4 linked regions of the Caenorhabditis elegans genome follow. The protein of the gene in region 1 purifies or fractionates together with the protein of each later gene. This does not show direct contact. Each region holds a gene or a part of one and is shown in the gene's direction. Other genes may lie near its edges.

Region 1 (7,839 bases):
AAATCTCATCTCTTCCCGACAACAGATCCTGTTCTAGGCCGGTCTCGATTCCGCGATACGAAACCTCCCGGAGACAATAGATCCTTTTCTCTAGGCTAGGCAAAATTTGGAGTTTCTTTCATATTTATCGCAAAAATCATTTTGCACTCAAATCGAGAGAAAAATTGAGAGAAACAAAGGACTCAAAATGTTTACGGATGTCCACGTGAAAGTCACACAAATGTTGAACAATTTGTAAATTTGTAACACAAAGTGAATTACACAAAATTCGGGCGACAATCTAAAAGTAATTTTCAAAAAACTCTATCTGAACACTACAGGTTAGTGTGACGTGTGCTAGGTTTTGTTTATCAGAATTGAATGTATTGAAGTTTGCTCACAAGAGGTAATCCAAAATGATAACACTATACTCACAGGCAGTTCAGTTGTAAACGTTTTTGTTTCCAGATGTTAGAAAAATTTTTTAAACCATCTTACAATTTACATTTTATTTTATCGACCGTGGATGCGCTATAATTTCCGACAAGCAATTCAACAAAAAATAAAAATTATACCTTAGTTAAAGATTATAGAAAACTGGTTGCTTTATCTGAAAATCATTTTCCTTTTATTTGGAACAATCGAAAAAAAAACTCAAAAATTGTCCTAATCTTTGAAAATGACGGGAAAAAACTCCAACACTTTGGTGGATTCCTTTCCAGAATATATCCGAAATTCTTCACACAATTTTGAGCGGTTTTCCAAACGTCCAAACGTTAATATAAAAACCATTTTTCATTAACTTTTTTCTATGTTTTATATTTTTTCTGTACTTTAAATTTATTTTTTTTTGCTATCCCAAATTCAATTTTTGAAGTAAGACACCATCTTGAATTTTAAGACTTCCAATATCCGTGTGCCACCAGCACTTTTGACCTACCAACCTGTGTTCTCCGGCCGCGCGCGGACAATATCGAACCTTTGAGAGTGACGAACCACAACAACAACCAAATTTTTTTTCATTTATCTTGTTGGCCTCAGTTTTTCCTTGCCTTTTTACAGTCATTAGTCGCTTTTTTTCCGTTCATCAAAAATTCTTTGAGATTTTTTTTTGCGAACACGGTGCTGCTAATAGAAAAGTTTAAAAAATTATATTATTTAAACAAATAATTTCACGACCGAAGTACGGCGATTTTCTTATATTTTTTTTCGAACGCAGTTTACTTACTGTTTACCAGTTCTCGAGCGCCGAGTTACACAAAAACGACTGAATCGTCGAACCGCATGTTTCTCACGTTGCCGCGGCCGCCCGAGTTTTCCTCTGCCACCCTACACTCTCTCGAATCTCCGTACTCTCTAACCTAGTTTCTCCAGTTCTTCTCACTTGTCGTCTTCCTTGCCAGTTCGTGGACTGGGATAAGATGAGCAGACGCGTCCATTCTTTCATAGGCGGTGCAGTCGGTCCATTTTGTTGTTTCACATCAGTTGTTTTTGATAGAGTCAATAAGTTTAACTACAATTTTAGCCTAGTTTGATGCCACGCCGTTGCTAAAGGCTAGAAATGTGGTTAGTACCCTGAATGGAGTGTCCTAGGGTATCTTTTTTGAATTTAAAAAAAGTGTCCAATCAGCCCATTCAAACACCATTGAACACTCAAATAATTGTCCTGGTAAAGATAATGATACCCACGTTTTATTTTATTTTTGTTTCTTCGGATAAGGAATCATGCGTTGTACGTACTCTAGTCTTCCCTGCTATCAATGTTTCGTTGCTTCATTCTAATCGGAACGTGATTTCCACGCCTACTTTCAAAACGTCTTTTAAGTTCCCACTCGAAACATTAATATTGAATATTCAGGTAATCTTTCTCCAATCAACAATGAGCGTTTCCAAGAAGCTTTTCTCTACCGCCGTGCGAGGAAAGTCGTGGTGGTCGCATGTTGAGATGGGACCACCAGATGCGATTCTTGGAGTCACCGAGGCCTTCAAAGCCGATTCAAACCCAAAGAAGATCAACCTTGGAGTCGGAGCTTACCGTGACGATCAAGGAAAGCCATTTGTTCTCCCATCGGTCAAGGAAGCTGAACGTCAAGTGATCGCTGCCAATCTTGATAAGGAGTACGCCGGAATTGTTGGTGAGTGTTATAAACTTATTGATCCATTTGAACTCTTTATTTGTTTGCAGGACTTCCCGAGTTCACCAAGCTCTCTGCTCAACTCGCTCTTGGAGAGAACTCTGATGTGATCAAGAACAAGAGAATCTTCACCACTCAGAGCATTTCTGGAACTGGAGCCCTTAGAATCGGATCTGAGTTCCTTTCTAAGTACGCCAAGACCAAGGTTATCTACCAGCCAACACCAACTTGGGGAAACCATGTTCCAATCTTCAAATTTGCCGGAGTCGATGTCAAGCAATACCGCTATTATGACAAGTCCACCTGTGGTTTTGATGAAACTGGAGCACTCGCTGACATTGCTCAAATCCCGGAAGGATCCACAATCTTGCTTCACGCTTGTGCTCACAACCCAACTGGAGTTGATCCATCCCGTGACCAGTGGAAGAAGATCTCCGACATTGTGAAGAAACGCAACTTGTTTGTCTTCTTCGATATGGCTTACCAAGGTTTCGCTTCCGGAGATGTTGACAATGACGCGTTCGCTGTTCGTTACTTTGTCGAGCAAGGACACAACATTGTTCTCTCTCAATCCTTTGCCAAGAACATGGGACTTTATGGTGAGTTTACATACTAATTTGTTAAATTTGAATTTTACAAGCTGGAGTTCAATACGAAATGTATTGTTTTTGTGCAATAGAGCGCAGTTTCTTCTTGGTGTTGGAAGTTAGGCCATGATAACGCGGATATCACTGGTGTCGCATTATCCTATCTTTTCTACCCTTTTGTAGCCCTAACCCTGAATACTGCATAATTTTTATAATTTATTCTGTTTAAGGTGAACGAGTCGGTGCTTTCTCCGTTGTTACCTCGGACGCTGATGAGGCTGCTCGTGTTGCTTCTCAAGTCAAGATCCTTATTCGCCCACTCTACTCCAACCCACCAGTCCATGGAGCTCGCATTGCTTCCCGCATCCTCGCGGATCCAGCTCTCAACAAGCAATGGCTCGGAGATGTCAAGCTCATGGCTGATCGTATCATCACCATGAGAACTACGCTCAAGGATTTGCTCGCCAAGGAGGGATCTACTCGTAATTGGGAGCACATTACCAACCAAATTGGAATGTTCTGCTTTACTGGAATCAACCCACAACAAGTTGAGAAGCTTATCAAGGAACACTCTGTCTACCTCACCAAGGACGGACGTATCTCGGTGGCGGGAATTTCATCGAACAATGTCGCTTACCTTGCCCACGCTCTCCACCAAGTCACCAAGTAAATCAGTGACAAATGCACTCTTCCCATTTTAACTTATTCTATCTGTCATAATAGAATAATTTTCTCGTTTTCGGTTTTCTTATTCTCCGGTTGTAGAATGGCAGTATGCTTTATCTCATTTTTATTTGTAGCCTGTTTTTTTTCTGAGAATGGGAACTTTTAATAAATTGGGTTTCGACCTTAATCTTTACTGGAGTTGGTTATTGAAAAATGATATGCACGATATTTGTTTAGCAATTACGTTAATTCAATTATTCGATTCTGAAACGTTGTGTTTCTAACTGTTTTGAAAGAAATATAATTGTCAGTTTTCTGAAAACGAAAAATTAAAAAAAATTAATATCACTTTCAAATTTAAATTTATTTAGTTGGAAGTGTGCTTACAATGAATGGTATAACACGCACATATTTTGAGTTCTCTGAAACCATAAGATTTTCGAGGAAAAAGACAAAGTATTTTTATAAAATCAAATTATGTTAAATACATTAGAGAGTTAAATACATAATTATTTAACAAAATTTTCAGAAACTTTTCGACTTCAGATAAACGCATCGGTGTGGTTTTCTGAAACATGGGCGTAGAGTTCTGGTATTTAATTCTGCAAATTCAAGTCACGGTCATGGGTCAAAATAAATTGGTTAGAAAATCTATTTTTTTTTCAAAAATTATTTCAGCTTGTTTTCAAAATGCCTTATAAAAACTGAAACCAAAGATTACAAAATCATACCTGGACAGAACTCAAACTAGCCGTGAATTTTCAGATGGTATTTAGCTCGTCGCAAATCAACAACTTACTTCCAGTCAACTGCTCAAATAATATATACGAAATTGGTTCCAGTAGATTTCAAGACGATAAGTGGGATAAGCTGAGAAAATGGGCAAGCCTCGCGCAATGAATTTTCAGAGTCCAGTACTTCCTACGTTAATGGATCCTCCATTATATCTCAACTCGAAGTTGTTAATGAGCGCATCTATATCGGCCGCCGAATCAAGCCGACAACCATCCAATGGCGGGCCTCTACCGATGACGCCAAGCAGCTTGGGCTGCATAATTAAATTAAAAAAAAAAAAAACAAAAAGCATAATTTGAGAAAACAGGTTCCCTCAGTAACAAGAAAATCTGTTTGATTCTATTTGATTCCTCCAGTTCTTGCTGCATTCAAAAGTCCCAAAAAGGCTTCGGTGAAACATTTCCGAATGGGCAAAAATTACGCTGGTCTATCAAGACTGTAAAACTTTAGACTGCAGCCTGAAGCTTGAGGCATATACATTAAAACCTGAGTTTGATGTTCTAAGACTATGAACATCTCAGGCGGTATTGGGGATTTATATTTGAGAGATAAGCTTGAAGACACAACTTGACGAAAACAAGTTCATTGCCATGTTTAGACATATTCAGTTGAACAACACCCAGCCTGCCGTGTGAAAATAAAAATTACCATGAATGATTTTTATAATACTATCTTGTTTCCGATGACGATATTAAAGAAAACGTGTTGATAATTTACAAATCACTCGTGCAAACTGTGCTCACAATTACCTGAACATTCACTTGTATTTTTTTGGAAGCATCAACTTTGGTCGTTTATGCAGTTTTACAATAATGAGCATAATAATAACCGAACTAATGATTTTTCATAAATAATTCATGGGTGAGCATGGGTGATCTACCAGATTTGAATAACTATACTTCAATTTAAAACGTTCTTCAACCGATCCCCTATTTTTGTAAATCGAGAGTATTTTTCACCGTTGGTCAGTTTGTTTGTTTTTGATGCGAATTGCTGCTCCTTTGTTTTCTTTTTCTTTACAGAAACTGCAGTCCCGTTTGAAATTCAAAATCCCCCATATTGTCTCATAGAACAATGGGAGTTTTTTTTTCTGCAAAATTTGTTATCTGACGTGTACCAAATATCCAAGCGTAAATCATCAATTCAATTGAATTCAGGATTACGAAAGTGATGTACAGTTATTTGAGCAGCTTCACTTATTTACTGCTCGGCTCATTGACTCATGTTTTTTGACGACACACACATCAATCGTTTGGAGCTGTGTGCACACATTGTGGCTCGGTTTTTCCATTGTCGGTTTATGAAGCAAAAACGAAAAACCGGCAAAATAATAATCAACAGGCTGCTGTACAAATTATGAAATCAACACTTTCCGAAAATAGATCTCATAATTTCTGAATTGTATAGTACATCGGAGATCCATTGCAAGCCCGGAATAGATATGATTCAAATTATAGATACATTTTTCTGTATGAGTCCCTATTTTTGTACACAGTTCTGACGCATTTTCAATTTGTACAGCACTGGAAATGAATCATGGTGTTTCGAAATTATGTATCTGAACTAATAACTTTTAAAAAAATAGCAATAGTTCGGCGTTACCAAAGATGCTCAACTAGTTTTCCCATTTTGAAAGAACTTAGAAAGACTTAAGTCTCAACTGGAAAACTGTTAAAAAAATAATAGAGTATGGAAAATGTATAGATCATACAAAAAATTGAAATCAAAATATCTATAAAGATTACTACAAAATTTAGTCGAAGGTTTCAAGTACTCAATTTTTCAATTGGTACATCATCCCGAATAACGATGTGGGAAAATTTGTAAATTAACAAAGTAGTTTAAAATTAATTTGAAATGTTTTTACAGACTTCGTATTGCTGAATCTTCCAAAAACTTTCGAACAGAAGCATATTGTGTCAATTTTAGCTATCAAAGTAGCAAATTGATACAATACATTTTATTCCTTAATTAATTATAGCATAAGTTGGAGAGTTATTTCAGAATCATTTTCATCTACTTTTATGACCGTAAAATACTCATATTCCGCTCATAAAACTTAATAAAATATTGCATACATTTTGGGCTAGATACATTTACATTGTCTTTTTATGTCGTTTGTATTCATTTTTCCACCAATGATAACCAACCTTTGTTACATTTAGTTTCAAATATCTCATTAAAAATGAAAAAAAGACATAAAAAATAAAATTTTCATATGGAATGTAAAGCTTTCTAATCCCTTTTTCATTTCAATCCGACTTCAAATTATTTTATTCAAGAAGGAATAAATTAAGTTTGTTTAAGTTTTTTAATAATCCCTCATTTCCGAAAATATTCACCTGTTCTTTGCTGCAACCCACAAAGGTTTTTCTCATTAAAACACGTGAGCCAGCCTGAAAAGTCAACACTTATTGAGTGAGTCATTGCGTGGGAGTGGTCGCCAAGTTTCTCATCGGTTGATTATATGTTTTTCTATTCAGATAATGATTGAAATCTGTTGATAATAAAAATGTATACTTACATTCTGAGAATTCATGTTCGAAAATTTATTTAAACATGTTATTAGTTGGTTGACTTTCTGTCTGATGCAGTGTTTTGTGTTTTCTTTTCGAACAAAAAAACCAAATGAACTTTATTATTCTCAAAATATGTTTTTCTGGAAACTACATTTAGAACGAAAACATTTCAGACTCCATCCCAAAGCTTCACGACCTTTTTGAAATTGAATACTTGCGGAAAAACGTCTCTTCTATATATGATCTTCTTTCTTTTGAATAGGTAAATGCCTGACACTGTCTCTATCTTGATTCCATTCCGGAAATGAGAAGACACCCAGCATAAATGAGATGTGGGAAATGGAAATAAAAGAAGTAACATAACATGAATTCTATTTTGTCATTCCGGGTTATTGTCTCTGAAGATCTATTGCTTGTTTGATTTTTTTATTGTGTTTAAATACAATTTAAGTAAATAAAAAACTTCCGCTATTTGGTTCTATATATTAAAAAGCCAAGTCATACATCACTAAAATTACTTTTTGAGCAAAATAAGTTGTTTTCAAAACGCGGAACCACTGTCTATTTTGTTTTGCACTTTTCGGTTTTATTGAGCTCGATGAGTTCATGTTTTTTAACTCAGTTCAGACAAAGTAAGAGGAAATGAATTTTTATAGCGACGTTAACGCTGTCGTGTCTTTCAGATGTCATAAAAATGCCCATTTTAAGAAAAACAAAACGGCTACCGACGAATAAATTAAGACCTGCGCGAGTTTTGGTGTTGTTCTTAAATGATTTTATCGAGGTTTCGAATGTGTAGGAAAGAAAGATTTTGGGAAAGAAAAGAAGAATGCCAAAAGTATCATATGACTTAAATAGAGTATTGTTGAAATGTTAAACGAAAAAAATGTTTGCGTTTTAAAAACGTAGTAAAAAGTACAAAAACAGGTTGTAATAGTAAATAAACCACACATATATTCAGAAAATCAAAATGTACAAAGTTCAAAATTTTCAAAGAAAAACGTTTACACAATTGTTTCCACGTCTAGAATTATGAATCATGATTACTTTTCTTCACTGAACCTATATACCTTTTCAAAAATGTATACTAAGTGTTATAACGTTTTTTTCTGCCCGGTGGCAGGTTTCCACAAACCCGTACCGGAAGGTTAATTTTAT
Region 2 (9,634 bases), on another chromosome or scaffold:
AGAGAGTGCAATACTAATTTTCAGAAAATTTTTCTGTGTCGGGGCTCAATAGTTTTTAACTGAAAGAATTCCAATTTTATTTGGAAATATAGAAAATCTGATTATAATTGCAAAAAAAAAGTTCAACAACTTCAATCTCATAAAAACAATTTGTCAACAATCGTTGCAAAATAGGCAAACAATTTTGTTAAAATCATAAAATTACTGAGGCGCTTTTCTATACTAATAGAAGAAAATACAGCAATTCCAAGTAGAGCTACAAAGTTCAACAAAAAGAGTAAAAGGTTACGAGACTACTGTAGCCTCATTGACAGAGTCAATTTTCAAATTAAATAAAAATCGATAGGTTATCAATCCTTCAACCAAAAATCCAAATGTCTTGATAAGAACAATAAACAATCCCAATATCTCCAAATTAACACCAGTAATATGACTAGAGATGTACAAAGGAATGATATTGAAGAATAGCATTATGAAAAAGTCGAGAAGAGCTATGCGGGTGGCCTGAAACAGTTTTATAATTGTAAAAAATAATAATGGTAATGTACGAATATATCTAGCTGTAAAAATGACGAAAAAGTTTTTAATGAACCACTAAAATTTCAAAAAAATTGTCAAAAAAAAATTCAAAAATTTGAAAACTTCAAAAAATTTGAAAAAAATTAAACAATTTTGATAGCTTATAACAATTCGGAGAAAAAACCATAAAACTTTCAGAAATTCAAAAAAAATCGAGATTTTTAAATTCCGAAAATTTGATATTTTGATGTAGTTGCCGCTCGCCAAATCGGAAAGTTGCCAATTTCCCGGAAATTTTCAATTCCGGCAATTTGTCGATTTGCCGGAAATTTTCAATTCCGGCAAATTGCCGATTTGCCGGAAATTTCAATTCCGGCAATTTGCCGATTTGCCGGAAATTTCGCTTTCGGCAATTTGCCGGTTTGCTGATCTGCCGGTAATTTTCAATTCCGGCAAATTTCCGATTCGCCGGTTTTCCGAAAATTTTCAATTCCGGCAAAGTGCCATTTTACCGAATTGCGGATATTTTCAATTCCGGCAATTTGTCGATTTGCCGGTAATTTTCAATTTCGGCAAATTACCAACTTGTAGTAACTTTAAATTCCGGCAATTTGCCGATTTTCAGGAAATTTCCAGTTCCAGCAATTTGCCGAATTGCCTGTAATTTTCAATTTCGGCAATTTGCTGGTTTTCCGGAAGGAATTTCTCAATTCCGGCAAATTACCAACTTACAGTAATTTTAAATTCCGGCAATTTGCCGATTTGCCGGAAATTTCAATTCCGGCAATTCGCCGATTTGCCAGAAAAAATCGTTTTCCGGCGACCCCTGCACTGTACATAAAACTCACTCTCGAAATATCCTTATTCGTTTCAGTTCCCGAGAAATAACTCCAAAAAGTAAGCCGAAGAAATAAAACGACCGAGAAAGCTCCATTCAAAAAGCAAACTATTTGTTGATGTGAAAACCAGTAGCGGTAGTAACAACTGTTAACAGCACAAAAGTAATTTACACACTCTAGTGGTGTTTCAAGAACATTTCCACAATATCCAAAAAGCATGTACTGATTGAAAAGTTCACTGGATAGGATTATGAGTAAAAATACAAAATTCGGAAGTTTTTGTCGATAAATGTGGAAGAAAATTGGAAAATATATGGCAATAACTCTTTCGAGGGCTATTAAAAATGTTAGTACTGATCTTATATTCCCAATTGATGCAGCTGGAAATACAAGTAAAAAGTATAAGTTTTTGATGATAAAGTCATTAGAAATCCTTGTAAGCATATAATATATTTTGAGAATCAACAGAACTATAGTATAAACCAAGTCCACACCGAATCTGCAGTAAGTCAGCATCATATGCAAATTTACAGGGATTCTTTTGCGCCAGAATATTGAGATCAAAAGAAGAAAGTTGAGGTAGCAGATGGTAATGGCGAATAAAATCGATATGAGAGTAGTTAAAACGGCGATGAGGAGCATTCTTGGAGAAACTAATCAAGTGAAAGAAAATAGTCAGAATATATGGGTATTCTAATTGAACCCGTCTGGTATTGTCAGGCGGAAATTTCTCCGGAAATACGTACTTCTGATCGCTGTCAATGACAACACGCACGTGGTGTCATAGTGTTATTTCTCATTTCAGCTTGATCTACGTAGATCTACAAAAAATGCGGGATAAGCGACGCAGACTTCTCAACTGATTTCGCATGGTTAAGAACGTGCTGAGGTCACCATTTTTCTTGAAAAAAAAATTCCCGCCTTTTTTGTAGATCAACCCGTAATGGGACAGCCTGGCAAAACGTGAACACGAAATTCTGGCCTTTCTCATTACATTTTTCGCGCTCCATTGACAATCGCCTGCCGGAGACATGGGAAAGTCGTGTACTCCACTCGGACAAATATATTTAGTTTTGCAATTAAAACCGAGACGCAACGCGCCGTAAATCTACCCCAGCCGTGGTTGAGTCAAAATGGCCTAGTTCGGCCAACTCTTACATTTCAAAATACGTGCAAATTGTCGTAAAGTCTGGTGTTTTCAGTTACGGTAGCTCGGTGTCCACGTACGAGGCACCAGATTTCACGAAAAAATGCACAGAAACTCTCGCTTTTGGTTACTGTAGGCTGAGGTTAGCGTTACAAATTTTACGACAATGCACACAAAAACCCTAAAACACAGGATTTAGAGAATATTTTACGCGAAAAATCTGAAAAATTCACCGGAAATACTCTGAAACTTCAGGATAAATATTTTTCAGCTAATCCAAGACGAAAATGGCAATTTTTAAATTGCATTTGGCAATTTTTCAATAGATTTTCTTTTTTTTCCAATTGTAATGCCAATTATTATCAATTAATTCAGTTTGAAACTCTTGAAATCAAAAACCCAAACATCTTAGATCACACAACCACACTGCCACTGGTGCAATCTGCACTCTTCTCTCCTATCTGTCAATTTCGCCGTTTTTTCTTGTGTTTTTTCTTCTTTTATGAAGTTCCACGTGCCTTTTTAAAAATTGAAAAAATTGAAATTTGACCGATACCGCCCGTTTTTCTGCTCGATTTCGAGATTTTTTCTAACTTATTTTCAGATTTCCTTGTATTATGCACTGTTTGTAAAGTTCAATATGTCATTTTACGAGAAATTTTGTGAAAAACTCGATTTTCTAATTTATTTTCTTTGAAATTTAGATTTTCCGCCTGAAAATCGCTTTTTTCATAATTTTCCGCAATTTGTCGTAACGAAGTCCGCAAACACTGTTGTCCACGTGTAGAACTTGTGGACAAACGCACATTTATTTTACTTTAGTTTTTATTCGCTTTTATTAATTTTCATGCGAATTTCTTGATTCTTACTCAGTTTTTTCACTTAAAGATCATTTTTCGCAATATTTTCTCTCTAAAACTCAACTAATTTCAGCAAAATCATGTCTCTCACCGGGTTCATCGGTCTCGGCAACATGGGCGGCCATATGGCCCGGAATTTGATCAAAAACGGGAAGAAACTCATCGTCTACGATGTTAATAAGGCAGTAGTGCAGGAGTTTAAGGTAAGATTAACAATAAATTTGAGAAAACTCGTTTAAAAATCGATTTTTTCAGGCAGAAGGCTGTGAAGTCGCCGCTCACCCTGCTGATATCGCCGCCGCTTCGAAAGAAATCATCACAGTGCTTCCGAGCTCTCCACACGTGAAAGCCGTCTATCAAGGCGAAGCTGGAATTTTTAAGTACGAAAAATCCTGAAAATTTTGGGAAAAAAATAAAAAATAAAATTTTTTCTCAAAAAAAAAAAATTTTTTTAATTTTTAAAATTTTCTAGTTTTTAAATTCCAGAACCATCCAGCCTGGAACACTGTGCATGGATTCCTCCACAATCGATCAAATTGTGTCACTGGAAGTTGCTCAGGCCGCCGCTTTGCTCAAAGCCGAGTATATCGACGCCCCAATCTCCGGTGGAGTCACTGGTACGGGAATTCGGAGACGGAAAATTGCGAAAACCAGTTGAAATTCGAAAAATAATAATGTTTTTAACGTGATTTTCGTGAAAATTCAGTTGAAAACTTGAATTTTAGCCTAAAAACTCAAAAATTTGGCCGAAATTTTTTTTTTTTGAAAAACAAAAATCGAAATCTCAGTAAAAAATTTCAGAAAACTTGAGTTTTAGCTCAAAAAATCACATTTTTCCCTAAAACTGTCGAAATTTTAGCTTAAAATCTCAAACTTTTCACTAAAAACTTCAAATTTTCACTGAAAAATTCAAATTTTCACTAAAAATCTGAAATTTCCACTGAAAATCTCAAATTTTCACTGAAAATCTCAGATTTTCACTAAAAATCTCAAAATTTCACTATAAATCTCAAAATTTCACTAAAAACTTCCAATTTTCACTAAAAACTTCAAATTTTCACAGAAAAATTCAAGTTTTCACTGAAAATCTCAAAATTTCACTGAAAAATTCAAATTTTCACTAAAAATCTAAAATTTTCACAAAAAATCTCAAATTTCCGCTATAAATCTCAAATTTTCACTAAAAAGTTCAAATTTTCACTAAAAATCTCATAATTCCTCTGAAAATCTCAAATTTTCACTAAAAATTCCAAAATTTCACTAAAAAACTCAATTTTCATAATTTTCCAGGCGCCCAGCAAGCTACACTAACATTTATGGTTGGAGCCGGAAACGATGCAACTTTCAAGCGTGCCGAAGCGGTTTTAAGCCTTATGGGCAAAAATATCGTGAATTTGGGAGCCGTCGGCAACGGAACAGCCGCCAAAATCTGCAATAATATGCTTTTGGGAATCCAGATGGTCGCTGTCGCGGAGACTATGAATTTAGGCATCTCGTATGTGGAAAATCTGAAAATTTAGAAAAAATTGAGTAGAAATAGCTGAAAATCTGAAATTTCTCTTGAAAATATGTTTTTTTTTCGAAATTTGATAATTTTGATATTTTTTAAATGGCAAGATACTTTATAAATTTAGTATTGTCCAGAAAACTTCTGAAAATTATAAAAATTCGAAAAACGCCGAAAATACGGAAATGGTGAACGATTTTGGAAAATGCAAAAAAAATTGAAGCAAAAATTGCTGAAAATTCAATTTTTTGCCGAAAGTTCAAACCATTTCAAAAATTGAAAAAAAAAACGTTTCCAGGCAATTTTTCAAGTTTTCTGATTAAAATTAATATTTTTCATTACTTTTTTTTCCGGCAAATGGGCAAATCGCCAAATTGCCGGAATTGAAAATTTCCGGCAAATCGGCAAATTGCCAGAATTAACAATTTCCGGCAAATCGGCACATTGCCGGAATTGAATTTTCCGGCAAATCGCCAAATTGCCGGAATTGAATATTTCCGGCATATCGGAAAATTGCCGGAATTGAAAATTTCCGGCAAATCGGCTAATTGTCGGAATTGAATTTTCCGGCAAATCGGCAAATCGCCAAATTGCCGGAATTGAATTTTCCGGTAAATCGGCAAACCGGCAAATTGCCGAATTTGCAAAATTTTCGGCAAATTTTAGTTTTGATCAGTTTATTTTTTGAAAATTTCAGAAAAAAATTCCCTCTAAAAATTTCCGGCAAACCCGCAAATGGCCGGAATTGAAAATTTCCGGCAAACCGGCAATTTGCCAATTTGCCCAATTTGTTGACGAAACAATGCCGCCCACCAAAATTCTAAAAAAACAGTTTCGTCAAAAATAATTTTGAAAAACATTTTTTTTCCCACATCAGCAAAGTAAAACGACCAGCGCAAAAAATTGAAATTAAATATATTTTTCTAAAAAATTCAACAAAATTTTTTTTACAGAATGGGTCTCGACGCGAAAGCGCTTGCCGGAATCGTGAATACATCGTCAGGAAGGTGTTGGTCGTCGGACACGTACAATCCAGTACCCGGAGTCATTGAAAACATCCCTTCGTGCAGGGTATGGATGGAAAATTGACTGAAAATCCGTAAAAATGCAAAAAAAAAATCTCAAAATTTGATTCTGTCCTCAAAAAATTCATTTAAAAAATTAAATTTCGCCATTTTTTGAATTTTTAGCTTAAATTTATAACTTTCCAATTTTTTGATGATTTTAATAGGAATTTTGATTTAAAAATAATTCAAAAAAGTTGAAATTTTCAAAAAAAAAATCGAATATCTGGAACATTTTTGCAAATCGGCATCTTGCCGGTTTGTCGAGTTGCCGGAAACGTTCAATTCCTTCAATTTGCCGATTTGCCGGAAATTTTCAATTTCGGCAACTTGCCGGTTTGCCGATTTGCCGGAAATTTTTAATTCCGGCAACTTGCCGTTTCGCCGATTTGCCGGAAATTTTCATTTTCGGCAAATTGCCGGTTTGCCGGTGTGCCGGAAATTTTCAATTCCGGCAATGTGCCAATTCGCCGATTTGCCAGAAATTTCATTCAAAAATTTCAATGAAAGTCTCCTAAATTCCGCCGATCAACCTAAAATTTCCAATTTCAGGGTTATGCTGGCGGCTTCGGAACGACTCTAATGGCAAAAGACCTTTCATTGGCTCAAAATGCTTCAACAAATACTCAAGCACCAACTCCAATGGGCTCACTGGCTCATCAAATCTACCGTATTCTGGCTCGTGATCCACAGTACCAGGCAAAGGATTTCGGTGTCGTCTATCAGTTTTTGAAGAAACAAAACTCATAATTTTCGGTTTTTTCTGAAATTTTTAAAGCATATTTTATGTGATTTGAAGCCCCGTATTTTCAGGATTTTTCCAATTTTTAAGCATATTTTATGTGATTTTTCCGCCTTTTTTCTATGTGCCAAATTGTGTTTTTTATGTAGAAAAAAATAGAAATTTATGAATTTTTTGTTTAAATTCGAAAAACTGTCTGGGAAAAAATCGAATCGAAAAAATTCGAAAAAAAATTTAAAATTTTCAGGGTTTTAATCGAAAAATTAATCTTAAAAAATCAATTTTTGTCACAAAAATTTATCGAAAAAAAAGCTGATTTTATAAGAAAAAATAGAGATTTTTAAAAAATTTACAAGAATATATTTTCCATGAAAAATCACTTGGAAAGACCATTACAAGTTCAAAATTACAAAAAAATTATTTATTACAAGCTCATAATTGAATTAAATTTGCGTGGTTCGATCTACTTCGATCTTCGAAAAATGCGGGAATTGAGATGCAGATTTCTCAATTGACTTCGCATGGATAAAAGCGTGCACTTTTTGGGCAAAAAAATCCCGCATTTTTTGTAGATCAAACCGTAATGGGACAGCCACCATGTATGTACATTACTTTTCAAGTAGGTCAAGTAGGTTCGGGCAGTTTCCGAAATTTTAAAGGAACTTTTTCATTAGAAATACGTGGTGTCATTACTGTTTGATCTACAGAAAATGCGGGAATTTTTTTCCCAAAAGTATGTGACCATTACAAGTTTAAAATTACAAAAATTATTTTATTACAAGCTCATAATAGAATAAAATTTCAAAACAAAAAGAAAATCTATTGCTTCTTGGCGGCCTCGATAAGCTCGGCCTTCTTCTTCTCAATAATGACAGCGTAGATCTTCTGATCGGCTTCCGATTGTCCCTTAATATACTCATTGGTCTCTCCGATCATTTTTGTGATAATTGCCAAAGAAGTGGCAGCATCACGTTCTGGCTCATCGTCCTTCTTCTTGTAAGTGGCGGCGATTTTGAGAATTCCCTCGATGGATTCTGGCGAGAGACCGGCGGCTGTCATCTCCTCCTTGGCTTTTGCGACTGAAATTTTTTTTACATATTAGTAGGGTATTAGGAGACCTACAAAAAATCCGAAAATTTTCAATTTTTGGATTTTTATTAGGTAATTTGCGTGGTTTGATCTACTTAGATCTTCGAAAATGGCGGGAATTGAGATGCAGACTTCTTAACTGATTTTGCATGGTTAAGAACGTGCTGACGTCACATTTGTTTGGGTTAAAAAATCCCGCATTTTTTGTAGATCAAACCGTAATGGGACAGCCTGACACCACGTGTGTGCTGTACTTTTCAAGTTGGTTGTATGTTCGGGTAGTTTCCGATATTTTTAATAAACTTTTTTTATTGGAAGCGTGTGGTGTCAGACTGCCCATTACTGTTTGATCTACAGAAAATGCGGGAATTTTTTTCCAAAAATATGTGACGTGTCAGCATGTTCTTAACCATGTAAAATCAGTTGAGAAGTCTGCGTCTAAATTCCCGCTTTTTTTGTAGATCTCACCAAAATGGGACAGCCTGACATCTAAAAATGTAAAAAATTAAATCATTTTTTGGTGTTGTATCCTATAATATCTGGAATATGAGGTTATTGTACAATTACATGTAAAAAATCAAAACAATAACTTGCTAAAGAATTACATACTTTTTTCTGCCGAAAAATCAACAAAAATTGAAAATTTCAATTTTTCGCCATTTTCGGTCTTATTGTTAAATTTTTTTCAAATTGAACAAAAAACATGAATTCTTGAAAAAATAAGCATACATCCAAAAACTCACGTTTCTCGGCCATTTTTAGTGTTGATTCAGCAGCAGCAGCAGTGAAAATTGATGCCTATGCCGAAATGTGGCACCCCGCTTGGCATTTTATACCGAGAAAAAATGTTTGTGACCGCATGCACTTTGCTCTTCCAGCGCGTGTTTGCATGCTTACGTGTTCCGAACGAAGACCGTTTTTGCAGTTGTTGCTCCGCGAGCAACTAATTTAATGATGTGTCAAGAACACTATGTAGATAAGGAATTTTAGTGATATGACGGCTCGCGAAGATTTTAACGTGGAAACTTGCTGGAATCCATGTGGCAAATAGAGATTAATGTCTGATATTTTCCAGAAAAACTATGGCCCAGGCTTAGGCTTTATAGGGTTATTCATGAGATGACGATAAATGCAAAAATGTATTTTTTACATTTTTCCCCTATCTATTCATGTGTGTAGAAAAATGTAAAAAAAACACATGCTTTTTTTGCATTTTTCTACATTTTTCTACATTTTTCATGTGAAGCGGGCTGTCGGCCGATGTAGATAAATGTCGAAAAATGTTGAAAAATTAAAAAAAATGCCTTCGTTTTTAGGGATAGGGTAAAACTGTATAAAAATCATTTGTGCATTTTTTGGCATCACATGAATAATCCCAATAGCTTCGGTTTAGCGTTTAGGCTTAGCTTTTTTTTAAGGATTAGCTTTGGCCTAAGCTCAGGTGTATCAAAGTTTTAAGAGCCCATGATTACAGACCACCTAAAAAATCTCAATGACCAGAATTTCAACGCAAAACATATTTATTATTTATTGAAATAATCAGAAATCACAATTTTTAGAGATAAGAGGGCAGGAGAAATGATGGGAAGAAGGTGAATGGCATGATGGTGAAGCTTGTTTGACTACACGGCAGTACATAGGGTAGACCTGACTTTTTGGACATAGCGCTTGGGCCAAGAAGTACTAGGATGATCATGTAGGTTTAGAGGTTGTCTGGAATGTTTTTTGAAAATTGAAATCGCGAAAAGTTTGGAGTTAAAAATAGGATTGTTAGGATTATTGTTTACAAGTAGACAATAGTCACTTGCGACGTGCCGGATCTTCGTCGGCGATCCACAAATCGATCTTGTTCAACTCATTCTGTTTC
Region 3 (7,039 bases), on another chromosome or scaffold:
AGACCCAGAAATTCTACAAAATAAGATAACAGGGAGTTTGAAATTACAGTACTCTTTAACGGCGCGCACCTTATTATAGTGAGCAAAATTTTGTCGTGTCGAGACCGGGAACCGTACTTTCGTGTTCAATTTTGCAAACTTCGCATCCGGGTAATAGTTTGATTTTGATTCCTCACTCAGATTCATTGAAATACATAAATATAAACATTTTATTAGGTCTCATGTTTCCCCCACTTTCGATAAGATATTGTTGTTTGCGAAAATTCGGTCAATTATCAACAAATTGTTCGATAAGATAAGCATTGACTGCTCTTTAAAACTGCACATTCTGGCCAGTTTTCGTTTATTACGATTTTTGGAACGATTTCTGGAGTTTAAGAATTTTTTTCGATTTGCAATGAATAGAATTTCGAAAGTTGATGTCAAAGTGAACATTTTGACTTTTCTACAGTTCCGGTTCAGCAGTTTTTCCGGCGCCAAAAATAGGTTAAATGCCGCGAAAATTGTCAGTTTTGTCTCACTTTCGAAATTTCGAAACATATTTATCAAGAACGAGGCTGTCATTTTCAGTATTTAAATTTGATTCGATTTCACTATTTTAACTTTACCATTTTTCCTACATGGCGCTCTTTTGGAATTCTTTGAAATTAAAAAAAAAATATTATTTTGAAAAAAATAATTAATGAACAAGTGTTTTCCCTCCAAGACGCAAGAATTATTTTTCTGTGTGCGCCTTTAAAACTTACAGTAAACCAGACGGTCAAATTTCTTCATTTTTATTGAAATTATTCAAAGTTTTCTGATTTCTAGAAATTTCTTTTTTTTTCCTAATTTTCTAATTTGATTTCAGCCCAGAATGAAATTGATTATCGAGGAGAACGCCGATAAAGTCGCCGAATTCGCTGCTCGATATGTCGTTACAAAGATCAATGAAGCGACTGAAAATGGAAAATATCTCGTCTTAGGACTGCCAACCGGCTCAACTCCACTCGGAATGTACAAGAAACTCATCGAATTCTACAATGCCGGAGTTATCTCCTTTGAAAAAGTGAAAACTTTTAATATGGACGAGTATGTCGGTGAGAAAAATTTGATATTTCTTTAATTAGTTGAAATTAATAAATATTTCCAGATCTTCCACGTGACCATACAGAATCGTATCACTCCTTCATGTTTGACAACTTTTTCCGACACATTGACATTAATCCAGCTAATGTAATTTTTTTGATTTTGTTGTTTTTTTTTTTTCGCCAAATGTGGTTCCAAAGTCAATAATTTCAGATTCACATTCTCGACGGAAATACGTCTGATCACGAGAAGGAGTGTGAAGAGTACGAGCGTAAAATCAAAGAATCTGGCGGAATCGATTTATTTGTCGGTGGAATTGGTCCAGATGGCCATATTGCGTTCAATGAGCCCGGAAGTTCGCTGGCAAGCCGTACACGTATCAAGACCCTCAACGAGGATACAATTCAGGTGCGCGCCAGAAAAATTCTCAATGGAGCGCGCCGTGTTGTGTCGATTTACGATTTTTCTTCAGTTTTGTCGGAAAAAATGTTCCATTGACAACAATAATCCGACGAAATTGAACGAAATTTGTTGGAAAACGTCAATCATCTCGTAAATTGACATGTCACAGCGCGCTCCAATGAGAATGTTTCTGACGCGCGTTTGAAAGTCGTCTTAAAATAATTGAATTTTTCGCGCTACATTGACAATTGCCTGCTGGAAAGTCGTGTACTCCACACGGACAAATACATTTAGCGTTGCAACTAAACCCCGGCCTTGGCCGAGTCAAAATGAGCCAGAACCGCGTGTGCACATAGATATTTGGAATCAGGAGTAAAATAATAATTCCAGGCTAACGCTCGTTTCTTCGGTGGAGACATCACAAAAGTGCCAACACAAGCTCTGACAGTCGGCGTCCAGACTGTAATGGATGCTCGTGAAGTGATGATTCTCATCACAGGATCACACAAAGCGCTGGCTCTTCATCAGGCAATCGAATGCGGAATCTCTCACATGTGTACGGTCTCTGCGATGCAGATGCATCGATGTGCAACGTTTATTGCCGACGAAGATGCCACGTTGGAGTTGAAAGTGAAGACGGTCAAATATTTCAAAGGATTAATGAATCATCATCGTTCACTTGTCATGTTTTAATCTGTATTACTTTTTTTCATGTACCCTTCCACTAATTTTCACTGTAACTTTCACTGTAACTTTGAATACTAAATATTGAACATTTTGGTACTCATTATTTGCCCATTATTCTTCCCGAAACATTTCAATAAAATTGAATTTTGAAAAATATTTATTAAACTTTCACAAACAAAACAATTAGAACAAGAATAAATACCAAAAAAAAAATGTTTCACCAATCCTCATCATCCCCCTTATTTCCACGTTGTCCCTTCTTATTTTTCGCCTTCTTCTGTCCTTTTTCTCCTGGTTTGTTGATGAGCAACGTGGCGTGTCCGGTTTCTTGTAAATGAGCAAATAACCTGGTCCGGCTATCGAATACCTCACGGCATTTATCACAAATTGCAGATTTTGGTTCAGTTGACTTCGGTGCTTCTTCCTCTACTGTCGCCGATGGGTTTTGATTTTTATCAGCTGAAAACAAAATTTTTGTTTTTGTTTTAAAGATTTTGCAATTCTACAAAATGTACCTCTTCTCTTCTTTTTCTCTTTCTTAACAACTTCCGGGGTACATTCCTTTTCCTCTTCCTCCGGCTGCTCATTTTCCACGGGCGGCGCTTCCTGAATCTCGGCTTCTACTGCTTCTGTTTCTTCCACATCAAATATTCCATTCCCCTTTTTCCTATCCTTTCTCTTATTCTTCTTTCCTTTCGGTGTTTCGTCGGGTTTCGGTTCTGCTTCGGTGAAAATCGTGGAATCTTCTTCTTTCATATGCTTTTTCAGCTCATTCAGCTGACGGATGTGTTGCTTCGAGTTCTCATGATTCAACTTGGCGTTTCTGAAATTAAGTTTGAAGAATATTATAGAGATGAATATAATCAGACTTTTGAAATTGAGGTGCAAGCGCGCTCCACGGACAAAAGTTGGGTCTCGTTAGGTAGTGGCGGTAAATCCATAATTTTAAACGTTTTCAATATTTTTTCGTATTTTTTGTCTCTCACTTTTCTTCAAGGATTTTCATTTTTTTCTAAAATAATCAAAAAATCAAAAAAATTATTTTTCAGAAAATTGACACACAATTTCAACTTTTTTATAAAGTTTTGTATATTTTGATAAGAAAAATTAGTCTTTTTTCTTTTTTTTTATATCGGAAAATTACATATCGATTTTTTTTTAGTTTTGGTTCATTCCAATTCGAAAAAAAAATTCTCGATGTTTTTTTAAAAATTTTTTCAATATTTCAAAAAATTTGATTTTTAGAAAAATGACCTCAAATTTTTCAATTTTTCTTCTTTTTTTTCATTTTTTAAACGTTTTATTTAGATTTTTCGATTTTAAAAGATCAAAAAAAAATTTTTTAAAGGAGTTCCGATAAATCTATAATTTTCGTTTTTCAATTCTCAATGTTTCGATTATTGTGCATTTTTTAAGCTTTTTTTTAAACAAAAATCGTTTGAAATTAAGGTTTTGCAGCCAATGCCTAACAAGACCCAACTTTGGAGGCGGAGCGATTTAATTTTTCCGTGAAGCGTACTTGCATCTCCATTTCAAAAATGGCATTTTTCTGCGTCTTTATAATATTCTGCTTACACAGTTTTGAACGATTTGCTACAAACAACACAATATGGAAGTTCTTCTCCTTCTTCATCACATTCATCACTACAAGTATCGTAATCCTCGGCCATTTGTAGACTAACTTCAATCAAATGAGCAAGACGGGCTGCCTCGGCTTCTTTGTCGTTCAGATATGAGTTGGCTAGCCTGAAAAATTCAATTTTTTCCTTATTTTTCACAATTTCGGAACTTACTCTTGATTTTTGGCGATCTGCTTTTTTCGATTATCAGCTTGTTTCTTATGTGCTTCCAATTTTTTTTGCTCCAAAATTTCCCTATATGCTTTGACACGTGGATCACGTTTTCGAACAAAAGCGACCAGATTCTGAAAAATTTTGTTAAATTTAAATTTAAAATTAAATATTCCGGACAATCATACCCTAATTTGCTCGTTCCTTTCCTGCTTTCCGACATCCCTAAACTTCTTATTTTCCTGATCGATTTGCCGTGATTCGAATCGATTTGAAGCCTGTGTGATATCATAATGATCCAGCCAGGCAAAAGAGCGAGTTGTCGAAAAAGAGCTCCAAAAACCGTAGAAACCATTCACAGTTTGCTCCAAATCGGTATCCTTGTCGCCAAACTCTGGATAGACTATTGTTGAATCGTTGTACGCATCATATTCCTCAGAAACTAGGATATTGAAGACTTTCCGGTAGACAGTGAAGAAGCCCTGTAATTTATAATTTTGATTTACTTTTTAGATTTCATTCTCACATTTTTATCGTTTTCATATCCTTGATAGCAAGAAGCGGTGAAATAGGGGAACAAATCCGTGGATTGTTCCTCGAAATCCGTATTTTTTCCCTTCAGAATACTTTCTCTATGTCTATCGTAAAATTCGCGTTCTCGTGGATCACTCAAAACGTCGTACGCAGCTTGAAGAAGCCTAAATTGCTGAGTACACTCTTCGATGCGATCCGGATTTTTGTCGGGATGCCATTTGAGCGCTAGTTTTCTGTAGTTCTTTTTGATTTTATCGTCATCAGCGTCGCGTTCAACTTCGAGCACTTCGTAATGGCATTTCATAGCTGAAATATTTAAAATTTACTCTAAATATGATTTTATTTTATAAATTGAAATGAATAGTTCATGCGAAACCATTTAAATAATAATAGAAACAAGAAAAAGAATTAAATGAAAAGAAAAAGTTATCTATCGTCTCTCCTTTCCACACGATGTCTCGCCATCTACATTAGAGCGCAATTGTAAAAAAATAATTTCCTATATTTTTTCCCACGATGTTTTGACGAATTCTGAGAAGCTAATTCACATTTTCCTGTTGTGATTCATATTAAATGTTGTTGAGCTAAATAAGAGCTATCGATTGATATGTCTGCCAAATTTCTTGCAAAAATATAACTGATAAAACTCTCGATAACAAAAGTTCGTTTCGAGTTCAAGCTCGGAAACCGATTTCCAAAATGTTGTTTCATCTTTATTTTCCTGAATTCCATCAAGTTTTCCCTCATTTAACATTAAAAATCTGTGTCTCTGATCACTCGTTGATACCAGTATCACATTAAAATCGTCCTTGACGTCGTCCACGCGGCCAATTTGTCCTTCAACCTCCATATTGTCATTCTTTACTTTTTCCTTGCAGTTTCGAACAATGTCCAGTGGAAAAGTTATCGTATACGGAGGCAAAGGCGCACTTGGATCTGCTATTCTTGAATTCTTCAAGAAAAATGGTTATGTAAGTTTTAAAAGAAATTGAATTAGGATGTTGTAAATTAATTTTCATTAATTTTCAGACTGTTCTAAACATCGACTTGAGTGCCAATGACCAAGCTGACAGTAATATTTTGGTGGACGGAAATAAAAATTGGACAGAACAAGAACAATCCATTCTCGAGCAGTAAGTTGTATTTTTAATTTAAAAAAAAGCTACCGTAACCTCATAAAATATTTGCAGAACTGCTTCATCTCTCCAGGGAAGTCAGGTTGATGGAGTTTTCTGTGTTGCCGGTGGATGGGCTGGAGGCTCCGCTTCTTCAAAAGATTTTGTGAAAAATGCTGATTTAATGATCAAACAATCGGTAACATATATTAATCCTAAACATCTGGTATTATTCTACCGTGAATTTTCAGGTCTGGAGTTCAGCAATTGCAGCCAAATTGGCCACCACTCACCTCAAGCCGGGAGGTCTTCTTCAGCTTACAGGAGCTGCTGCTGCTATGGGACCAACTCCATCAATGATTGGATATGGTATGGCAAAAGCTGCAGTTCATCATCTGACATCTTCATTGGCTGCCAAAGATTCGGGATTGCCTGACAATTCGGCCGTTTTGACAATTATGCCAGTCACTTTGGACACCCCAATGAACAGAAAATGGATGCCAAATGCTGATCATTCAAGGTAAAATTAAATTACTCTTTTTCTTTTGCATAGTTTTCTATGTTTTTTTTTCAGCTGGACTCCACTCTCATTCATCTCTGAACATCTTCTCAAATGGACCACAGAAACATCGAGCCGTCCATCTTCCGGGGCTCTCCTCAAAATAACCACTGAAAATGGAACATCGACTATCACTCCACAATAATTTTACCGACATTTTTCAGCCTTTTTTACATTCCGCTTATTATCTGTTATTTTTCCATGTAGTATGCTATCAATTTCTAAATCATTTGTCCATAAAGCTTGTGATGTTTTTAAGTAAAAATGTTTTATTATCTAGATGCGAAATATTGCAATTTTTCTGCTGAAAATACGGTACCGGTCTCGACGCGACAATTTCTTATGGTTTTTTTTTAGTTCCCTATTTTCTTTAAATTTATAGAAAATTCTACGGCAACAAAATGTTACAAAATTACAGTACTCCCTAAAGGCGCATCCCTTTTCGAAGTTAATCAAAGTTTGTCGTGTTGAGACCGAGTACCGTATTTTCGGGGCAAAAGTAAAAATTTGCTAGAAACTCGCAAAAGATTTTATACAAATTACGTTGAAAATAACTTTACCAAAATATTATGAATTCAGAGAATGGAAAATATACCTTGGAAGGGGCACACCACTTTTGCGATGGGTCCTGAAACGATTTTAATTAAAAATCTACAACATATTGTTCATGCTCCTTTAAATTACCGAAAAATTGTTTTTTTTTTTCGTTTTCTTTTTCAGCGTATTATTACATAATTCTTGTCCCAAATCTTTAGTTTAATTCGTCAATTCTCACCATATTGATATGACAAGAAAACAGAGAAACCCGCAGTTTATTAGTCACTCCCATATCATTTTCTCTCTTCCAATTCTCCTCTATCTGTTTGCAGAGAATAAATCTTCAC
Region 4 (6,816 bases), on another chromosome or scaffold:
GATTCTCTCGGTGCAGCAGGCCAAACTGTTTTATGTTTCTGATGTAGAACCACAGAATCCGGTGAAATGTGCTCAACAACGCTCATCGCTTCCAGCGTATGGTCCCATTGCATTTTATACCGTGCATCATAGAAATAATGCATGAATTCCAGTGCAGTGACACCATCAACTGCATGTATCGCCTTTAATGGATCAACAGGAACACCTCCTTCATCTTCAATTTGTCTTGTATACATTCTCATTGGACCGTCTTCAGCGAACAGACTCCATACATTATCCTCAGCACCGGCAAGAGCATATCTAGAAATATTGAGAATTTGAAAATGATTTTTAAAACGATAAACTTACTTGAGCTGTTCTAGAGCGAGCTTATCGATTGTGGTGTAAAGAGAGTGTTCTTGGCTCACGAGGAGGTCGTCATAGTGACCAGTAACTGGGTTTCCTTCCTGCAATAGCACATGTTTTAGTAGAGAAATATGGAAAGTTTGGCAAAAACTCTCGTTTCTGCGAATTTTATTTTAATTAATTTTTTATTTATAGATGTATTTATTTAAAACTTATATTAAAATTAAAAGGCGCGTACACTTCTCGCATTTAATAAAAAAGGCGCTAAAAATCGCAAAATTTTGCATCCTTGTAATATGAGCTTACAATTCTGAAGCTAGTCTTCTTTTTCTCTTCCTCTGGAACAACTATATTTCCATTTTTCTTGTCTTCCACCTCTTCTTGTCTTTTTTCAACGGTATCTCCATTTTTCGAGTCCACATCAAACTCGTCGGCGTCAAAGAACTCATCACAATCACTTGTCTGAATGAGAAATATGCAAATTTGCAAGAATTGTAAATTTTAGAAATTGTCTGGCGTATTTTTTGCGATAGATTCATAAATTTTTGATCCGAAATTGATATAAAAAATGTATTTAGAAAATAATTTCTTTAAACTTTAAATTTTGCAGTAAGTTCTGAAAAATGCTCAATAACAGTGCCAAGCTTTCGTTACACTGATCGGGGAGCAAAATGACTTTGAAGCAAGTATAGAGCATTTTTAGAACATTCTAAAACTTATCTGAGAGTTATTTTTTTACTGAAAAATTGATTTAACATAATCTTATAGATAAGAATTAGGATTTTAAAACTTTTTTGGATTTTCTTTTCTCGAAATTAAATTTACATATTAACAAAAAACTCACCACATCAATATCAGGTCTTGCAATAATCGTAGAAGTTGTCATTGTTGAATTATCGTCAGACATGTATTCTTGTTCAACAATAGATTCACGACGAAGAACAGAAGAAGAAACACTTCTAGTTGCACATAAAGGTTCCCGAAATGGTGGTGGAGTGGATGAAGAAGAAGATGGAATGTTTGGTATTACCACCTGAAAATTATTTGATTTAATTCTCAAACTATCAGCAAATTGTTACTTTAGAAGTCTTGACGAGATCCACGATATGATTAATATTAACAATCAATGCTAAATGTGTTGCTTTTACTGATAGAATCGTGGCTTGTGGGACAATACAACTGGCTCCACCTTGTTCCAGAAGTCTTTCGATTGATGTCATCTGATCCTTGCACATAGTTCGGTATGCTTCGAGTTCGGAGAGTTTCGTGGCAAAAAGCTTCGTTGATTCATTATCATCAGATTTTTGATTATTAGTAGCAAGAACTGAGGAAACCGATGGATTACGGGAATGACTTTTAGTGCTAGTCGAGCTATAATCCGAATCGTTTTGTACCTGAAAATTATTGATTTTCCCATTGAAGTTTTAACTTGATTTCTCTGATTCTAAAAGTAGAATTTCGAAGTGAACGATTTTTTATATTTTATAGCCTCGTACTATTCCCGAACTTTCAATTGACTTTTGTGTGCCACCGTCCGTACTATATATTTACACGGGATGACAAAATCAGGTAAAGATCAACAATGGTGTTTTTGATGTAAAAAGGAACATAAGAGAGGTGTTTGAACTATGATCGGAGCATATTTAAACGAAGAATATACAACTTTTTATCTCGTAATTACTCCGAGAGAATCGCTGGGGAAGTAATTTTTTGAAAAAATTATGTTTTAAAAATACCAAATTCAGATTCAGAAAACACTCACTGTTTCCCGGACAACTGATCGCATCCATAGAAGTTTTGACTGTGAATTCTCTGCTTTCAAATACCAGACAACGTTTTCGCCCATAGATATTGAGAATTCGTTTTCATCAAATTCGTGGGCCTAAATTTTTAAATATACAAGAACTTTCTGAGAAATCAATAAAAGCTCACAGCTATTATTGCACTTTTGAGAAATATGCTTCCTCTGCATCCGTGGGATTTTTCGGCTTTTGACAGATAATAAACAAGATTTCCCTCTGTGATTTCAAAGTATCGATCTTGCCATCCATTCACGTAGTTTGTCCATTTTTTCATCACCCCATTCGTGGGAAGGACACTGGAATGAGATAAATTATATTAGAATTTATCATTGAAACAATTTCTGTAATTTAAAATATCTACAAAACTCACACTTCGCTCTCCATCGGCTTCGTTCGCGAATCAGCAGGTGATAAATGATAAGACAGAGGCTCTCTTTCCGAGAGACTTTCCCCGTTTCGATACAGTTTTGCTCTCACTTTGTTCTGCAAACAAAGCTCACGGTTTGGTAGGCAAACAGTTAAATGGTAGTCGATGGCAGAAAAGAAAGAGTATAGACAACCTTACATTTAGTCGATTCTAAACATAGGGCGTCGAAGGTGGCGAATATGGGAGAACCGGTTTCCTTGTACTGCAAATAGTTTTGTGAAGTAGTGTCTGAAACGAAAAAAGAAATTTGCGGAGCCAGGTCATCAAGCATGAAATAAAGTTCGACGCGTAACGAGGCACAATAGTTTAATGGGAATATGCAGAGCGTTTGTGCTTGTTGCATGGAGACACGAAAAGCAGACATAAGTCATAGAACTTGAGACAAAGTGTAATAAACTATTTATGTCACACGCGTTTTTTCAGATATCAAATGCAGCGATTCACTTCTCAATGTGTTTTGACGTTACAGGTGACGTTAAATTCCGATTTTTGTTCAATAATCCCGATGAAATTTCATATGAAGAAAACCAGTTTGACAGAACATAATTCTCGCAAAAGGTTCAATTGGTGTCCAAAAAAATTGGTCGAAAACAGTGGTCAGTAAAGGCGCTCCATTGCAATTCTGGCACAAAGCCAAGAATGCTGCGAGGTCGGGTCTCGCCACGTGCTGAAGTACGGTTACACTCGTTTCATTTGTGTCGGAGTTGATTGAATGGGCGCCGGCGGGTTATTCTTTTCACTTGCGTTCGTCGCTGTCGCCTGTGCTGTTGACACCTGTTCCAAGTTGGATTGTCCGAAAATGAGCAACACTGAGAGAACCTTCATCGCCATCAAGCCTGATGGAGTCCACCGGTTAGTTATCTTTGAAGAAACTTATTCTAGCATCCTCAATGGATTTTAGGATTTTCAAAATCCTAATTTTTTAAATTTCAGTGGTCTCGTCGGAAAGATCATCGCTCGTTTTGAAGAGCGCGGATACAAGCTTGTTGCTCTCAAGCAGATGACCGCCTCCAAGGCCCATCTTGAGGTACGTTTTCACGAAATTACAAAATTTTAGGCCCAACCAGTTAAATTATTATTTTTAGGTTCACTACCAAGACCTCAAGGACAAACCATTCTTCCCATCCCTCATCGAGTACATGAGCTCTGGACCAGTCGTCGCCATGGTCTGGCAAGGACTTGACGTCGTCAAGCAAGGACGTTCCATGCTCGGAGCTACCAACCCACTCGCTTCCGCCCCAGGAACCATCCGCGGAGACTTCTGCATCCAAACCGGACGCAATATCTGCCACGGATCCGATGCCGTTGACTCTGCCAACCGCGAGATTGCTCACTGGTTCAAGCAGGAGGAGATCAACGACTACGCCAGCCCATTCATCAACTCATGGGTCTACGAATAAACTGATTGCTTATGTCTCCCGGTGTTTTCACCGTTTTCGTATCTCTGCTGAATGTTGATAAAGTATTGCTTCCCACCTAAAACATCGTTTTTGTTGACATCTATTCCTGCGCATTCTCTAATGCGTTTTCATGGCAACCAATCCTACACGACTCAGCTGTCATCAAATCTTTTATTCAACCCGAAAACGGAAGGGGATTAAACATATAATATATTCAGATGACTGCAATAAGTTATGAAAACACGAATTAGGATAATAATTTCAGCTTTTAAGCTCTGAATTCCGCCACTTGCACGAGTTTGTTGCTCAGATTTGTGTTATAGAAGTCGAACTCGGGATTGTCCAAATGGTTTTCGAAATCGGAAAGCTCTCGGTACAACTTCTTCTGAATAACAGCTTGAAGGCCACGCAAGAAGTTGGAACCTTGGAAAATCGTTCTGAAATGAATATACTAAATGAATATATAACATCAAATGTTTTTTCCTACTTCGTTTCTTTCCAACTATCTCCATCTTTTTCATATGCCACGAGGCGGTCTTGTTCACAATCTGACACCAGTCTTTCGTTCATCACTTGTACGAGAATCGCTGCCGAAGAGGTAACAGAAGATATTCTGTCGGCGAGTCGAGTGGCATAAACGTTGAGAGAAGTGTCCGATGGAGTTGCATTTGAGAAATAGACGCCGACGAGGGAGGCACCAAACTTTCCATGGACGAGGGCTGTGGCAAGTTCCAGAGGAGGTGCGAGTGGAGTGGATTCATGGCAAAGAGGAACACAACTTGTTACCTGGAAAATAAATTATCAGATAGGATGGCAAATTCATTAAATTAAAACATTTCCCTGACTCAGAAATCTAGTATCGCATAACTCTTCTCAAAACGTAGAAAAGTATTTTTTATGCTCTCTTCAGCAACTGTTCATCATTTTGAGGTGGAGAGCGTAATTATTTTTTCTTGCTTTCAGCTTAGCAATTCTAATATATCGATAATTGGTATTAAAGACGACTGTCTTTGGAGAAAATAAGCGTACCGACATGACGATCAACTAATTTAAAATGTTCGCATTTAATGAATTAAACAAATAAAATTGTACCGTGACTTTGTCTCCTTTCTTGTTTCCAATCAGCAGTCCAAAAACACCCTTTGCCGGGTATTTCAGGCAGTGAAGGATGATTGTCGAGTAGGGGAGAGCCTGTGTTTCGACTTGATGCTTCATCTGCAAATTACTTGAATTTTAGCGAATTTTGTTTATTATTTGAAATCATCTAACAAATTTTAGGTATTCAGGATTGTATTGAACAATAAAAGAAGTTGAATACAGCGGTTTAATGAAAATAAATTAAGAAAAACAGTTATAACGTTGTTCTCTCTCGAAAATCGTCTTTAAAATTGAGTTATATTACATGAATAGATTGTTTTAGGAATAAATAAAATTAAGAAACATTTTAAACTGGAATCAAACCATTAAAACAATAAAAGAATCTCGAACACTCAACAAATATAAACTAAAAATCGTTAATTCCAAAGAGAGCATTTGTATTCTCAATGGAGCGCACTTGCGCAGAAAATTTATCAAATAAAAAAAAGGAGGGAAACAAGAAATTTCAAATGATTTTGATGTTTTTAAAGTTTAATTCGGATAATAATCATAAAATTAGGGAACAGAAAATCAAAAATTACATAAAATCTATGAAGTTCCTGATGAGAGCTCTTGAGCTCAATAATTCGATTGAAAATTCGTTAAGATTGGTGGAGCACAGCGCCTCAAATCGGGAGAGTTAAGAAAATTGAGAATTGGAAAGTCCAACGGAGCGCGCTTGCACACTTTTACGGTATTAAATGAGTTTCAGACGAAATTTCGCGATTATTCGAGTTTTCAAGATGAAATTTGGAAAAAATAATTAAATATTGGGATTATTATTGCTTTAAAAAAGTTTTAAAAAACATTTTATTGAACAAATTCAAGATTTGGCTGCTTTTTCATTGATTTTCGAACCGACTAGAACAAGTTAACTCTATGACAAAATTTCTACGCGAAACAAATTTTTTCAAGCATTAATATGTTTGATTCCAATTTTTAAACGTCAGCTTGATAGAAATAACACGGTTTCAAGTCTTGAAATTGTTCAAAAATGCACAAATCAACGGAAACTGTTTAGTTGGCAGCTGATCTTCACTAAACCAACACTAAATGTTCAGATCAAATCACAACTTGTTTGATCATTTGAAAAAACATTTTTGAATCATTGTTTCCCACAAAAAGCAGATGATAAGTAGTATAGCATGATGAGAATCCATATGATTCTTCATATGCGCATAGCTATAAATACTGTAACTTCGACAACTCCTATCTCCTCAGAGAGGCAAGATATCAAAAAGTGATTAACTAAGAAATTGCAGAACATATCAAAAACTATACTAATTAATTAAAATCATGTGTTTATCTCTTAAGATGAGGGAGTTAGAGCAGCCAGTATAATAACAAAAAGTATGCAATACAAATGTACGTCTAACTCCCCCATCTTGAAAGATAAAAACGTAGGTTAAATTGAATATCATAGTTTTTGATGTGCTCTACAAGGTCTCAGTTGATCACTTTTTGGTATCTCACCTCTCCGAGTAGATAGGAGTTGTCGAAGTTGAGGTATCTAGAGCTGCAGAGGGTAGGAAGAATCTGATGGTTCCTTATTAAGGAAAAGAAAATATAACACGAAACTTGTAATAAATGTTAATTTGATCATTTATGTGAGTATTTGAGCCATTTTTTAAGGAAAATTGGAGAGCAACACTTACATAAGAAATTTGGCGTGGCATAGATCCATTGGTAGATTGGGACATTGAAA

What was found.
Region 2: the proteins of got-2.2 (region 1) and B0250.5 fractionate together in Caenorhabditis elegans (co-fractionation; one large-scale study listed by BioGRID). This does not show direct contact.
Region 3: the proteins of got-2.2 (region 1) and qdpr-1 fractionate together in Caenorhabditis elegans (co-fractionation; one large-scale study listed by BioGRID). This does not show direct contact.
Region 4: the proteins of got-2.2 (region 1) and ndk-1 fractionate together in Caenorhabditis elegans (co-fractionation; one large-scale study listed by BioGRID). This does not show direct contact.

What each region holds. Positions count from the first base shown.
Region 1 is NC_003284.9:6,239,146-6,246,984, forward strand, and holds got-2.2 (Aspartate aminotransferase), read left to right. Parts: upstream 1-1,837; 5' UTR 1,838-1,858; coding exon 1,859-2,114; intron 2,115-2,164; coding exon 2,165-2,713; intron 2,714-2,931; coding exon 2,932-3,371; 3' UTR 3,372-3,564; downstream 3,565-7,839.
Region 2 is NC_003283.11:20,490,486-20,500,119, forward strand, and holds B0250.5 (putative 3-hydroxyisobutyrate dehydrogenase, mitochondrial), read left to right. Parts: upstream 1-3,438; 5' UTR 3,439-3,445; coding exon 3,446-3,568; intron 3,569-3,620; coding exon 3,621-3,745; intron 3,746-3,851; coding exon 3,852-3,982; intron 3,983-4,655; coding exon 4,656-4,860; intron 4,861-5,825; coding exon 5,826-5,943; intron 5,944-6,488; coding exon 6,489-6,686; 3' UTR 6,687-6,860; downstream 6,861-9,634. Other genes in the region: srbc-79 (Serpentine Receptor, class BC (Class B-like)), read right to left, coding at 286-504, 1,368-2,000; dct-16 (DAF-16/FOXO Controlled, germline Tumor affecting), read right to left, coding at 7,498-7,757, 8,511-8,523; dct-14 (DAF-16/FOXO Controlled, germline Tumor affecting), read right to left, coding at 9,568-9,634.
Region 3 is NC_003281.10:13,388,551-13,395,589, forward strand, and holds qdpr-1 (Dihydropteridine reductase), read left to right. Parts: upstream 1-5,359; 5' UTR 5,360-5,368; coding exon 5,369-5,452; intron 5,453-5,510; coding exon 5,511-5,614; intron 5,615-5,671; coding exon 5,672-5,795; intron 5,796-5,847; coding exon 5,848-6,116; intron 6,117-6,170; coding exon 6,171-6,300; 3' UTR 6,301-6,429; downstream 6,430-7,039. Other genes in the region: T03F6.3 (Glucosamine-6-phosphate deaminase), read left to right, coding at 857-1,079, 1,133-1,215, 1,282-1,476, 1,861-2,163; dnj-17 (DnaJ homolog subfamily C member 21), read right to left, coding at 2,375-2,616, 2,673-2,980, 3,733-3,903, 3,951-4,081, 4,136-4,429, 4,474-4,785.
Region 4 is NC_003279.8:10,550,352-10,557,167, reverse strand, and holds ndk-1 (Nucleoside diphosphate kinase), read left to right. Parts: upstream 1-3,254; 5' UTR 3,255-3,373; coding exon 3,374-3,426; intron 3,427-3,507; coding exon 3,508-3,601; intron 3,602-3,659; coding exon 3,660-3,974; 3' UTR 3,975-4,049; downstream 4,050-6,816. Other genes in the region: cert-1 (Ceramide transfer protein), read right to left, coding at 1-300, 349-446, 652-807, 1,190-1,378, 1,425-1,739, 2,108-2,227, 2,278-2,443, 2,518-2,531; F25H2.4 (MPN domain-containing protein), read right to left, coding at 4,243-4,411, 4,462-4,760, 5,067-5,189.